3 linked regions of the Oryctolagus cuniculus genome follow. The protein of the gene in region 1 purifies or fractionates together with the protein of each later gene. This does not show direct contact. Links are inferred from orthologs where the notes say so. Each region holds a gene or a part of one and is shown on either strand. Other genes may lie near its edges.

Region 1 (3,648 bases):
ATCTGGTCCCAAAGCCAGCGTTCCAAGCCACCAGGTCACTCTGTCCCACGTGGGCGAAAGGCCTGAGGGGAGGCGGCCGTGGTAGAGGAAGAGGAGCTCCCTTAGATAGAGGGACAGGGTAGGCTGGAGCCCGGGGAAGGCCACTTCCATCTTCCCCAGCTGCCCACCCCAGGATCCGCCTCCCTCGCAGCCCAGCCGCACGGCTTCCCAGGGGCCCCGGGGGCTGGCACTGGGCTGGCGCTAAGGTGCTGCCCCTCCCAGGCGGAGTCTGACTCAGCGGTCCAGCCGGCCGGCGTGCAGTCCTCCTGAGTCACAGGTAGGCACTGGCCCCGCCTGCCATGGGAGGGGAGAGGACTGTGGTCCCAGCACTCAGCCACAGGCACGGGCTGAGCCTGGGGACCAGAGATGCAGGCAGAACCTCTAGCCCCTCGAGGCGCAGGGCGTGGCTGGGGACAGAGCTTTGAAAGCCTCCTTGCCCACTGCCCAGACCCCGTCTTGCGGAAATCCACTCTCCATTCCTGGATTTCCGTCTGTGTGCAAAAGCTGTTAGGGCCATGGCGCAGTGGTTAAACTACCACCTGCGATGCTTCTTCCACCGTATCCTATGTGCGCACCTGTTCAAGTCCCGGCTGCTCCACTTCTGATCCAGCTCCCTGCTAGTGCACCTGGGAAAGCAGTGGAAGATGGCCCAAGTCCTTGGGCCCCTGCACCCACGTGGGAGAAGGGCTGGAAGAAGCTCCTGGCTCCTGGCTTCCACCTGGCTTAGCCCTAGCTGGTGCAGCCATTTGGGGAGTGAACCAGTGGAAAGAAGACCTCTCTCTCTTTCTCTCTCACTCTCTCTCTCTCTCTCTCACTGTCAGTCTCTGTAACTCTGCCTTTCAACAAATAAATAAAAATCTTTAAACTAAGCTGTCCGGGGGCCTGCTCACCCAGTGCCCATGCAGAGGAGTGGGCTCAGGCCACGCGGGGCTGAGTGTCTCCGGCCCTGCCCAGGGCACCCCACCCCAGGCCACACAGGGCCAGTAAGAAGCCGAAACGAGAGGCAGTGTGGCAGATCAAGCCAGGCACCCAGGGGAGGTGGCGTGGGACGGGATCAGAGGCGGAGGTGGAGGGGTGCACAGAGAGCCATGAGCACCTGGGGCAGGGCCTGAGGCTCGTTTAACCCTTGCTCTCCCATATCTGCATTGGGCCTGCGCAAGTGACTGAAGGAGGGAACAAGCCACGTAGACTAACGTGATTCCGGGAGCGGGGACAGCGTGCACAAGGACTCAGAACTGGGAATCCAGGGGCCAGGGACAGGAGCTGGCAGCTCTGGGGGCTTGGTTCTGTGCCAGGCCCCTCTGGGCTGGGCTGGGCTGGGCTGCCGGCTTCCTGAAGCCACCCCCCTTCCTCCCCAGAGCTACAGCCCCACTGTGTTTGAGCGGTACACCGTGAACCTGCAGGTGAAAGGCAAACCTGTGCACCTCCAGATCTGGGACACCGCAGGTGGGTGCGGGGCAGGGACGGTGGGCTGGAGCGAGGGCTGGTGGGCTGGAGTGGGGCGCACAGGGACGGGTGGGCTGGAGCGGGGGCTGGAGCCAGGCGCAGGGATGGGTGGGCTGGAGCGGAGACGGGTGGGTGGGCTGGAGTGGGGGTGGGGACAGGTGGCTGGAGTGGGGGCGGGGACGGGTGGGCTGGAGGGGGGCGCGGGGTGGGTGGACTGAAGTGTGGGCTAGAGCGGGGCGCGCAGGGAGGGGTGGGCTGGAGCGGGGCACGGGGACGAGTGGGCTGGAGCAGGGCACTGGGGCGGATGGGTTGGAGCGGGGCGTGGGGACGGGTGGGCTGGAGCGGGGACGGGTGGGCTGGAGCGGGGCTCAGGGACAGGTGGGCTGGAGCGTGGGCTGGAGTGGGGCGCACAGGGACGGGTGGGCTGGAGTGGGGCACACAGGGACAGGTGGGCTGGAGCGGGGTGCGGGGACGGGTGGGTTGGAGCGGGGCGCGGGGACAGGTGGGCTGGTGTGGGGCGCGGGGACAGGTGGGCTGGAGTGGTGCGCAGGGACAGGTGGGCTGGAGCGGGGGTGGGTGGGCTGAAGCATGGGCTGGAGCGGGGCGTGGGGACGGGTGGGTTGGAGTGGGGTGTGGGGACAGGTGGGCTGGAAGGGCCCTGTGGAGCCCCACATACTCAGGTTGGAGCCCTACCCCCTACGTCTGAGCTGGGGGGCTGGCCAGGGACAGGTGTTGGCCAGAACCAGGGGTCCCTGGCCCTGAGCCCACCTGCCTCCCCGCTCCCAGGGCAGCCCACTGTGTCCAGGATTTGGGGGCGGGGGGGGGGCAGAACTCTTTGCTGTCAAAAGCCAAGTTACCCTGGCCTCCCAAGCACCCGACCCCAGCCTCAGCGTCGCTAAGGTCTGTCTGACCTCTGGCCTCCTGACCTTGCCCACACAAGGGCAAGCTCATCTCAGGGGGTCCCAGCAGGCCCCGGGGCAATGGGCCTCAGTTCCTCCAGGCCTGGCTGCTGCCTTGCCTGCTATGCCTTCCAGACCAGGGTCCTTGGCAAGCCGTCTTCCCAGCCCAGCCAGCGTGGTGCTGAGGGGCCAGCCCCTAAGGCAGGATTTGTGTCCTGCCTCTGGAGACCCCATCTGATACTGGGGACATCTGCAGGCAGTAAGGCCCCCCGTCTCTGCCCAGGGCAAGACGACTATGACCGCCTGCGGCCCCTGTTCTACCCCGACGCCAGCGTGCTGCTCCTCTGCTTTGACGTCACCAGCCCCAGCAGCTTTGACAACGTCTTTAACCGGGTAGGTACTGTGGGATCAGGCAGTGTGACCCCCACAGCCAGCCCTGAGCCAACTGTCGGGGGAAACTGAGGCCCGGGGGCTGGCAGCACCTTGCCTGGGGTCACAAAGGCACTGGGTGCTCCCTGCCTGCCCCTCCCCCGGCCCCTGAAGACTCCACTTCCACTGGGACTCTCCCTGGGATAGCAGGTGAGCCCAAGGCTGCAGCACCCCCCCCAGCCTGTGCCTCCCTGCCCCCCACCCCTGGCTCCCACACACCAGGAAGTCGGCTCCCAGCTGCTCTCGGCCCCCTGCCGGGATCAGTGCCGACTCTCACAGCCTCCCAGGGTGCCCCCGGTCATGTTGGGGTCCTAAGGCTGGGACAGGCGTCAAGGATGCCAACTCTGAGCTGTCCCAGTTCCCTCCACTCATGGCACAGCCCATGCCCCGCGGCCGCCAGGGCCCACTTCCACCTCCAGGCGTCCTGCAGAAAGCCCACGGGGAAGACGGAATTAGGACAGCCTGGCCTGGGGGCAGGACGATAGAAATCCACGTGGTTTTCTTCACAAGGTGCATTCTGCACACTGTTGGAATGCTGCCTCCTCTTGCTCACGTCAGTCACCTAAGCACCCGATGGGCACGTGTCCGCACGCTCTCTGGATTGAGCCCCTCGTCCAAAGACGCACATCGGTGAGGGCAGCGACACTGGGTCTTGAACCCAGACTGGCTGCCCCACACACTCATTCAGAGCTGTGTTGCAGCGTATATCCCTGTTTGTTTATTTGAGATGCAGAAAGAGCGAGAGGGGCAGATAGAGAGCCCCCATCTACTGGGCCAAATGCCCCCGGTTGCCTGGGGCTGAGTCAGGCGGAAGCCAGGAGCCAGGAACTCCATC
Region 2 (3,648 bases), on another chromosome or scaffold:
ACACTCACACACAGCTGTGCCCCCATGCCCAGCACAGGGCACACACACACACACACACACACACAGCTGTGCCCCCATGCCCAGCACAGGGCACACACACACACACACACACACACAGCTGTGCCCCCTGCCCAGCACAGGGCACACACACACACACACACACACACAGCTGTGCCCCCATGCCCAGCACAGGGCACACACACACACACACACACACAGCTGTGCCCCCTGCCCAGCACAGGGCACACACACGCACACACACACGCACACAGCTGTGCCCCCATGCCCAGCACAGGGCACACACACACACACACACACACACAGCTGTGCCCCCCTGCCCAGCACAGGGCACACACACACACACAGCTGTGCCCCCATGCCCAGCACAGGGCACACACACACACACACACACACACAGCTGTGCCCCCCTGCCCAGCACAGGGCACACACACACACTCACACACACACAGCTGTGCCCCCATGCCCAGCACAGGGCACACACCCACGTACCAGCCCGTGGTTGCCGCACTGGATCTCGCCATGGAAGGGCTTGTAGAACAGGTCGCTGCGGCCCGCCTCCCGTGTGCCCGCGTAGCAGGCCTTGCGGGTGGCCTCCATCTTGGTGTGGACCTCATCCAGTGGGAAGAGGCAGAGGCCTGCCCCGGGCCCTCCGTGGCCACCTCGGCCATCCCGACTGAAGACAGCGTACAGCACCCTGCCAGCACCCGGCGTGGCCACGGAGGCCGCCAGACAGGTGCCAAAGGCGGGGGCCTGGGGGTCGCTGGGGTCGTGGCACTGCAGGTCCACCTCCAGGTAGGAGTAGTAGAACGGGTCCTGTCTGCACATGCGTGCCAGCAGCGTGCGGTTGTGGGCTGGGTGCTTGTCCTGCTGGTTGAAGACGAAGAAGACGTAGGGGCCGTCCTCGAAGGCCGCCACGAACTGCTGTGTGCTGGTGGACAGGTAGCCGGCCTTGTAGGTGGTGTGGTCCGTGTAGGCCTCGAAGGCCTCCCTGCCCTCGGCCCGGTCCAGCAGGCGGGTGCTCACGATGATGCCATTGTCGTGCGGCCCGTTGCCTTTGCCCACAAACAGCACGCGCTCCCCGCCGGGGCCCGTGGCGCTAACCAGCCCCACGGTGGCCACGCCCTCGTCATTGCTGGCCACAAAGGACTTCTCGCCGCTGCTGTCTTCATAGAAGAGGCGCGTGGAGATGTTGCTGAGGGCCCGCAGGGCACAGATGCCCTTGAAGAGGCTGCCACACTCCACCAGGCGCCTGCCAGGAGGGTCGAGCAGCAGCAGCTGGTTCACGTTGTCGGTCAGCACGGCCTCATGGCACTGGCTCGCCTCGATGGGCGGCGTGCACTTCTTGTTGTCCAGGGCCGGGCCTGTGTTTGCCTTCTGCTCCAGCTGCAGGTCGGCACTCAGCTGGTAGAGCGCGTTCACGGCCCCCACGTACACCACGCCGGAAGCCTGGTCCACGGCCAGGTGGTTCAGCTCTGTGTCACTGTGGAAGAAGTCCAGTCTGCCAGGCCGCAGGCTTGACCCCATGCCCGCCAGGCCCAGGAGGGTCAGGGCCCAGAGCTGCAGTGCCATTGCCCCCGACAGCCTGTGGGAAAAAAGCAGGGGTCAAGGGAGCCCTAGCCCAAAGGGTGCCTGTGAACACAGGCCAGCGGGCCGTGATCCCAGACTGAGCCGGGGAACCCAGCACCCTTCACACACACACACACACCCCTGTTCCACCTCAGAGCTCCAGGAAACCCACTTCCTAGCCCTTCACCGCGCAGTCTACCTGGTGACCAGGGTGGAGCCACCGCTACTCCACGCCCTGGGAAGCCGAGGCCTCTTCTCCACCTCCAGGTCCAAGGCAACAGGCCAGGGCGGAGCCCAGCTCCCCACCCTGTGACTCTCCAAGAAGCTCCAGGCTGTCGGTCGGGGGGCCTTTGGCCCCAGACAACTTGCCCCCATGCACAGGCCCAGGCCGACGGACAAGCCCTGGGGGCACGAGCAGGTGAGCTGTACACCTGTCCTGTACTGACCCCGAGCACAGGCTGGTCCTCGAGGCCTGCTGTGACCAGCTCAGCCAACACACAGGCACTTTCCCCTGTTCCCAGAGTCACCTGCCCCAGCCCCGCCCCACCTGCAGAGCTCTCCCCGGAGGCCTCCCGGACCCCCTTCCAGACCCCTGTTCCCATGGCAGAACCAGCGGGGGAGAAAGTAAGTCTTCTCAACCCCTCCTCGCCCTGCCTCACCCCCCTCCCGGCGCCATGGGCAGAGCCTCAGATGTGGGGGCACAGAGACAGGATCCCAGGAGGGACTTCCAGGGAGCTTTGAACAGCTCCAAACCCAGCAGACGTGGAGGGAGAGCCCTCATGCATGCCCTGGAGTTCAGACCACGAATGGGACGAGTGGGCTAGTGGGCTGCAGGATCTGCCATTCCCTTCCCACTTGCCTCAGGGAATCCAAGAGCAGCTGGCAGGGAGAGCCATTCTGTGCTGGCAGGGAGAGCCCTTCTGTCTCCCTCTGGGGACCCCAGCCCCCAGACCCTCTCTCGTTATCACAGCCTCCCCCCGCTCCTGGATCACCGTCCCAGGATCTAGGCGTCGGCTGCTCCAGACCAGGACGCAGAAACCCCGTGCAGGCTTTGAGTGAAGCTGTGTTCACTGCAACAGGCTGCCTGCTCCTCGCAGACCCTGTCACTCCTCCCAGTCGCTCCTTTATTGCTCAGGCACCCAAGTCGCCCTACAGGCTGTGGCTGTCCCCTCCCGCACGCTGCACCCAGCTCTGAGCTCAGAGGAAAGGTGCCCAACAAAGCCTTCTCGGCGGGGGGAGGCCGAGCTGGTCTGCCACCCTGCTCCCCGCAGACAACCCCTCCAGGTGACCTGGCCTCTGCACAGAACCTGCACCGGGGCTCAGTCCTCACACAAACCCTGGGGACACAGGGTCCAGGAGCCCACCCACAGGTGGGGTGGGGGAGGAGGAAGATGGGGAGACGCGAGAACAGCAAGACTCTCTTGGGGTATCCATGGGTACAGGCCCTCCTGCTACCCCCCCACAAAGGCCCCACTTTCCCCACACCCCCCCGCAGTCCACCCAGCAGTATCAGTCCCCACCAAGCCTGTCCTTCCAGCCTTCCCCACTCACCCACGCCCCGCCCAGCGGGCCGCGCCAGCCACAGTGAGCCCGGAATGAATGGAATGTCCTGGGGCCCAGGGAGGGGGGGAGGAGGAGGAGTGCGTGGGCGGGGCTGCAGCTGGGGCCGCCCAACAGGCGCCCAGGCCCCTGGGCGGGTCTCTACCACAGGGCTAGGCCTGGAGCCCAGGCCAGACAGACAGGGGGACCCTGTGGGCCCCCTTCAGACAATGCTCTCACCCCTGGCAGAAAGATCCAGGCGGCTCCCCCTGCGCCTCTCCTGACTGATGTCAACAGACACCCCTGGGGCAGGCACACCCTGGGTGCTCAGTAAATATCATGTGTGACTAGATCCTGCCACTGACAGCAGCACTGGCCAGACACCCCCACACTGCCCAGGGCTGGCAGAGGGACCCCAGGGGTGGCAGGAGGGAGGGCCTGTGTGTCCACAGGAGGCTCCCGTCTACTTCCTGGACAAATAGGCCTCAGGTGACCTGCCTGCCAGCCTAGGAGCAAAGGGCG
Region 3 (3,648 bases), on another chromosome or scaffold:
TGCAGGGCCCAAACACTTGGGCCATCCTCCACTGCCCTCCTGGGCCACAGCAGAGAGCTGGACTGGAAGAGGAGCAACCAGGACTAGAACCTGGCACCCATATGGAATGCCGGCGCCACAGGCAGAGGATTAACCAAGTGAGCCATGGTGCTGGCCCAACCCATTGTTCTTAATCTGCTGTTATAATATTGCTGTGATGTTTGGATTGCTGATATATTTCTCTTCTTTATGTAATGAAAACCCAAGTTTTAGGCCTCCTTTTACATCTTTACTATCTATTATAATTTGCACATCCACGTATTCATGTCTAGAAAACAAATGACAAAGGTGTCTTTTCCATCTGGTTAGTGGAGGTGACACTTAATAGAACTCAGGTGCCAGTTCTTTGAGTTCACAGCTTTTGTATTGACATATGATTGCCTAAAAGGGGAAGAATAAGAGTGAGAAAGCATGGGGATTTGATTGCTTCTTTAACTGGCATGTAGTATACAAGACATTTTTGGCTTTTTAATCACTACAACTTTCCACATAAACATATTGGACAGATGAATTCCAGACATCTCCAGGGAGACTCAGTGACATACATAGAATTACTTTAGAAAATATCATTATGTGTTTTATATGTTGCTCTTTGTTAAATAACTGCTTATTGTTCCCAAATTTCTTCCAGATGTTTATGGGAGGTATATTTAATTAAGAAACAAAATTTCTGAGATATAGTCATTCAAATAAAAAATAAAGACAAATAACTGCACTTAAAAACATTAACATAATTAGGTAGAATCTCTGTGAACGTCTGGGTTTTTGGAAATTCATTGTAAGCTTTTTTGTTTTGCCATTAAACCTATGTTCCACAGACATGTTGATTTTGAATAAAGGCTCTTTTTTCCCTCTTTAGTTTGGTTTGCAAAGGATTCTAGGAGATGAAAGAAGTCTTTTACTATTGGCACGAGCAATTGACCCCAAACAACCTAACATGATGACTGAAATAGTAAAAATACTTTCTGCTATTTGCATTGTTGGAGAAGAGAACATGTAAGTATAGCTATATTGTTTTATTGACTGCAAGTAAAATGACATTTCAAAAGTCAGTAAGTACTTTTGTTGTCTTTCTTTCGATAAACTGCATGAAGAGTATTAGATTTTTGAAAAATTTGATTGATTTTTTATCTTGTCTATATTTTAGCATTTTGTTGATATTATGAAAACTAGGTTTAAACTGATAGAGTTCTAATGGGAAATTGTTCAAAATTGAATTCAAGAAGAATAGAATTTTATCTTGCTGAGGCTAAAGCAGTTATTAGAAAAGTAGATACAAAAATTACTTTCACACACACACACACACACACACTCATACACTCATACAGTCACTCATGAAATTCACCCTATTCTGAGTTTTTTAATTAATTTAATTCTTTAACTAATTGAATAGATTAGATGTTTTTATTTTGGGCTATTGCTTCACATTTTACATTCCATGTGGTAAATGAAAGGATGAAGTAATCATTTGTAGAGTGAAATAACTTGCTAAAAAGAAAGACCAAAGGGTTGTTGATAATTATTCAGTGTGCATATATGTACCAAATTCAGCAAGTTGTTGATGAAGATTCATTAGATCATATGTTCTTATGGAAAGAATATTGAATCAGAAGAACATTTAAGCTTTGCTGTCATTAGTAAGTCCAGTTTGTCAAAATGTTGTGATGAACAATGGAATGTCTGCTAAGAACATGAACTAGAATATGTCTTCTGAACACTTTGTATGACAGTAATAATTTAAATTTGAGTCAGAACAGGGCCATGTGAAGATCTAATGATATTTTAACATGTAAACTTTATTATCACTGTTAGAATAAAATGAATATTTTCTTAGAGCTAGTTAATGTCCTTGAAAACCAAAACACAAACATTAAACAAAGATATAATCTAGCATTAAATCTTATCTCAATGAGAACCAGTTGACATATAATGTGTGCAATTGTTGAGTTTCCTTAGGTTTTAGAGAATAGTCGGTTTATATATGAGTCAGAAATATTTTCTTAATTATGTTGTCAATTCTTAATTTATAAATACAACCTAGACTGTTATATTTGTTATATTTTAATTATAGCTTACATATCATTTGAAAGTAATAGCCTACTATTTAGAGGTTAATTGATTTTGACATTGGATGGAGATAGTTACCAGATCTTATTTTTTGGTAAATAAGATTCCTATGCTAAATAATTATTGTTACTTCTTTAGTTTTCTGGATTTTTCTTTTAGATTATGTTTTTTCTGTTCCATTATCAAAGACTGTTGTTTTTTAAGTTCTTTTTAAAATATTCACTCTTTCCAGTACTTTATTATGATATTATAGTCTGTTTACACTTTATTATTAAGTCTGTGTATACTTTTAAAATAATACAAAATAATTGTAAATGCTATATTTAATTGATTTTAATATATATTAACACATGAAATATCAAACCTCAACATTTCAGTTTCAGTGTGTCTCAATGACATATTCATTTTTTCTGAAATATTCTTTTTAAAATATCATGTAGAATGATTGCTTTCAGTATTTTTTAAGCTATCAATATTTAACTTGTAGAAATATATGGATGGCCATTCAATTATTGTTAATAACTGTTGCCTATATTCCCACTAAACTAGGGTCATTTTGCTTTTTACTTGTTAAACTACTTATTTGGGGAGGTGTTAAGCCTTTGCTGCGATGTACATTTCATACTTAAAAACTAATAAAAAAGAAAGAAAGGGAGAAGCAAGGAGGGTGGGAGGGAGAAAAAGGGAAGGAGGGAGGGAGTGAAGCAGGAAGGAATGTCATTATGTTCTTAGAATTGTATCTACAAAGCACATTGAATCCGTTAAAAAGTAATTAAAGATTAAAGTTCGAAAATTAAAAAAAAAATAGTGGATGGCAACATGATTCTTATATTGCAATGATGGTTTGGTTAGACAGAAGGAATAAATTTGAGAGATCTCATGTACCCTGTGGTGACTATAATTAGTAACAATGTAGTGTATACTTGAAGATAGCTAAGAGTAGATATTAAGTGCTTCAACTACAAAAGAAAGGTAAGTGTGTGAGGTAATTAATATATTAATTAGCTTCAATTAGCCATTCCACAATGTATACACATTTCAGAACATTATATTGGAACCATAAATATGTACACTTTTGTCAATTCAAAAGAAAGAATTTTAAAAATCGTGGTGGTTTGTGTAAGAATCAAGCATCATAAAGAAAAACAGGTAAGATCTATAGGAATAACTCATGAGCATAATGTGTGTATAGGATGCAGTTCTCATTTTTTTTCTTTTCTTTTTTTCCCCCTCTACAGTTTAGATAAACTTTTAGGGGCTATAACTACAGCAGCAGAAAGAAATAACAGGGAACGATTTTCACCAATTGTTGAAGGATTAGAAAATCATGAAGCCTTGCAATTACAGGTGAATTAGTTTTATCTTACATTGTTTCTAGATGTATATTTAGAGTACTCATTTTGTAAAACACCAACTCCATTTTAGCTGGCATTTAAATAGAATGGAATGTAAAAAAACATTCTTCCTGTTGTTTTGTTTGTGACAATAATAATTTGTTTTAAATTTGGGAAAATACTTCTGAATTATTTTAAATATAACAGT

What was found.
Region 2: the proteins of RHOD (region 1) and PLXNB2 purify together in Homo sapiens (affinity purification with mass spectrometry; 3 studies listed by BioGRID and IntAct, counting the BioPlex papers as one, with this or other methods). This does not show direct contact. The link is inferred for Oryctolagus cuniculus from reciprocal best matches to the Homo sapiens genes RHOD and PLXNB2.
Region 3: the proteins of RHOD (region 1) and DIAPH2 purify together in Homo sapiens (co-immunoprecipitation; 3 studies listed by BioGRID and IntAct, with this or other methods). This does not show direct contact. The link is inferred for Oryctolagus cuniculus from reciprocal best matches to the Homo sapiens genes RHOD and DIAPH2.

What each region holds. Positions count from the first base shown.
Region 1 is NC_091432.1:4,925,798-4,929,445, reverse strand, and holds part of RHOD (rho-related GTP-binding protein RhoD), read left to right. Parts: intron 1-1,397; coding exon 1,398-1,485; intron 1,486-2,667; coding exon 2,668-2,777; intron 2,778-3,648. UniProt on the Homo sapiens protein: Involved in endosome dynamics. May coordinate membrane transport with the function of the cytoskeleton. Involved in the internalization and trafficking of activated tyrosine kinase receptors such as PDGFRB.
Region 2 is NC_091442.1:123,237,054-123,240,701, forward strand, and holds part of PLXNB2 (plexin-B2), read right to left. Parts: intron 1,604-3,648; 5' UTR 1,591-1,603; coding exon 511-1,590; intron 1-510.
Region 3 is NC_091453.1:95,819,795-95,823,442, reverse strand, and holds part of DIAPH2 (protein diaphanous homolog 2), read left to right. Parts: intron 1-898; coding exon 899-1,035; intron 1,036-3,344; coding exon 3,345-3,453; intron 3,454-3,648. UniProt on the Homo sapiens protein: Could be involved in oogenesis. Involved in the regulation of endosome dynamics.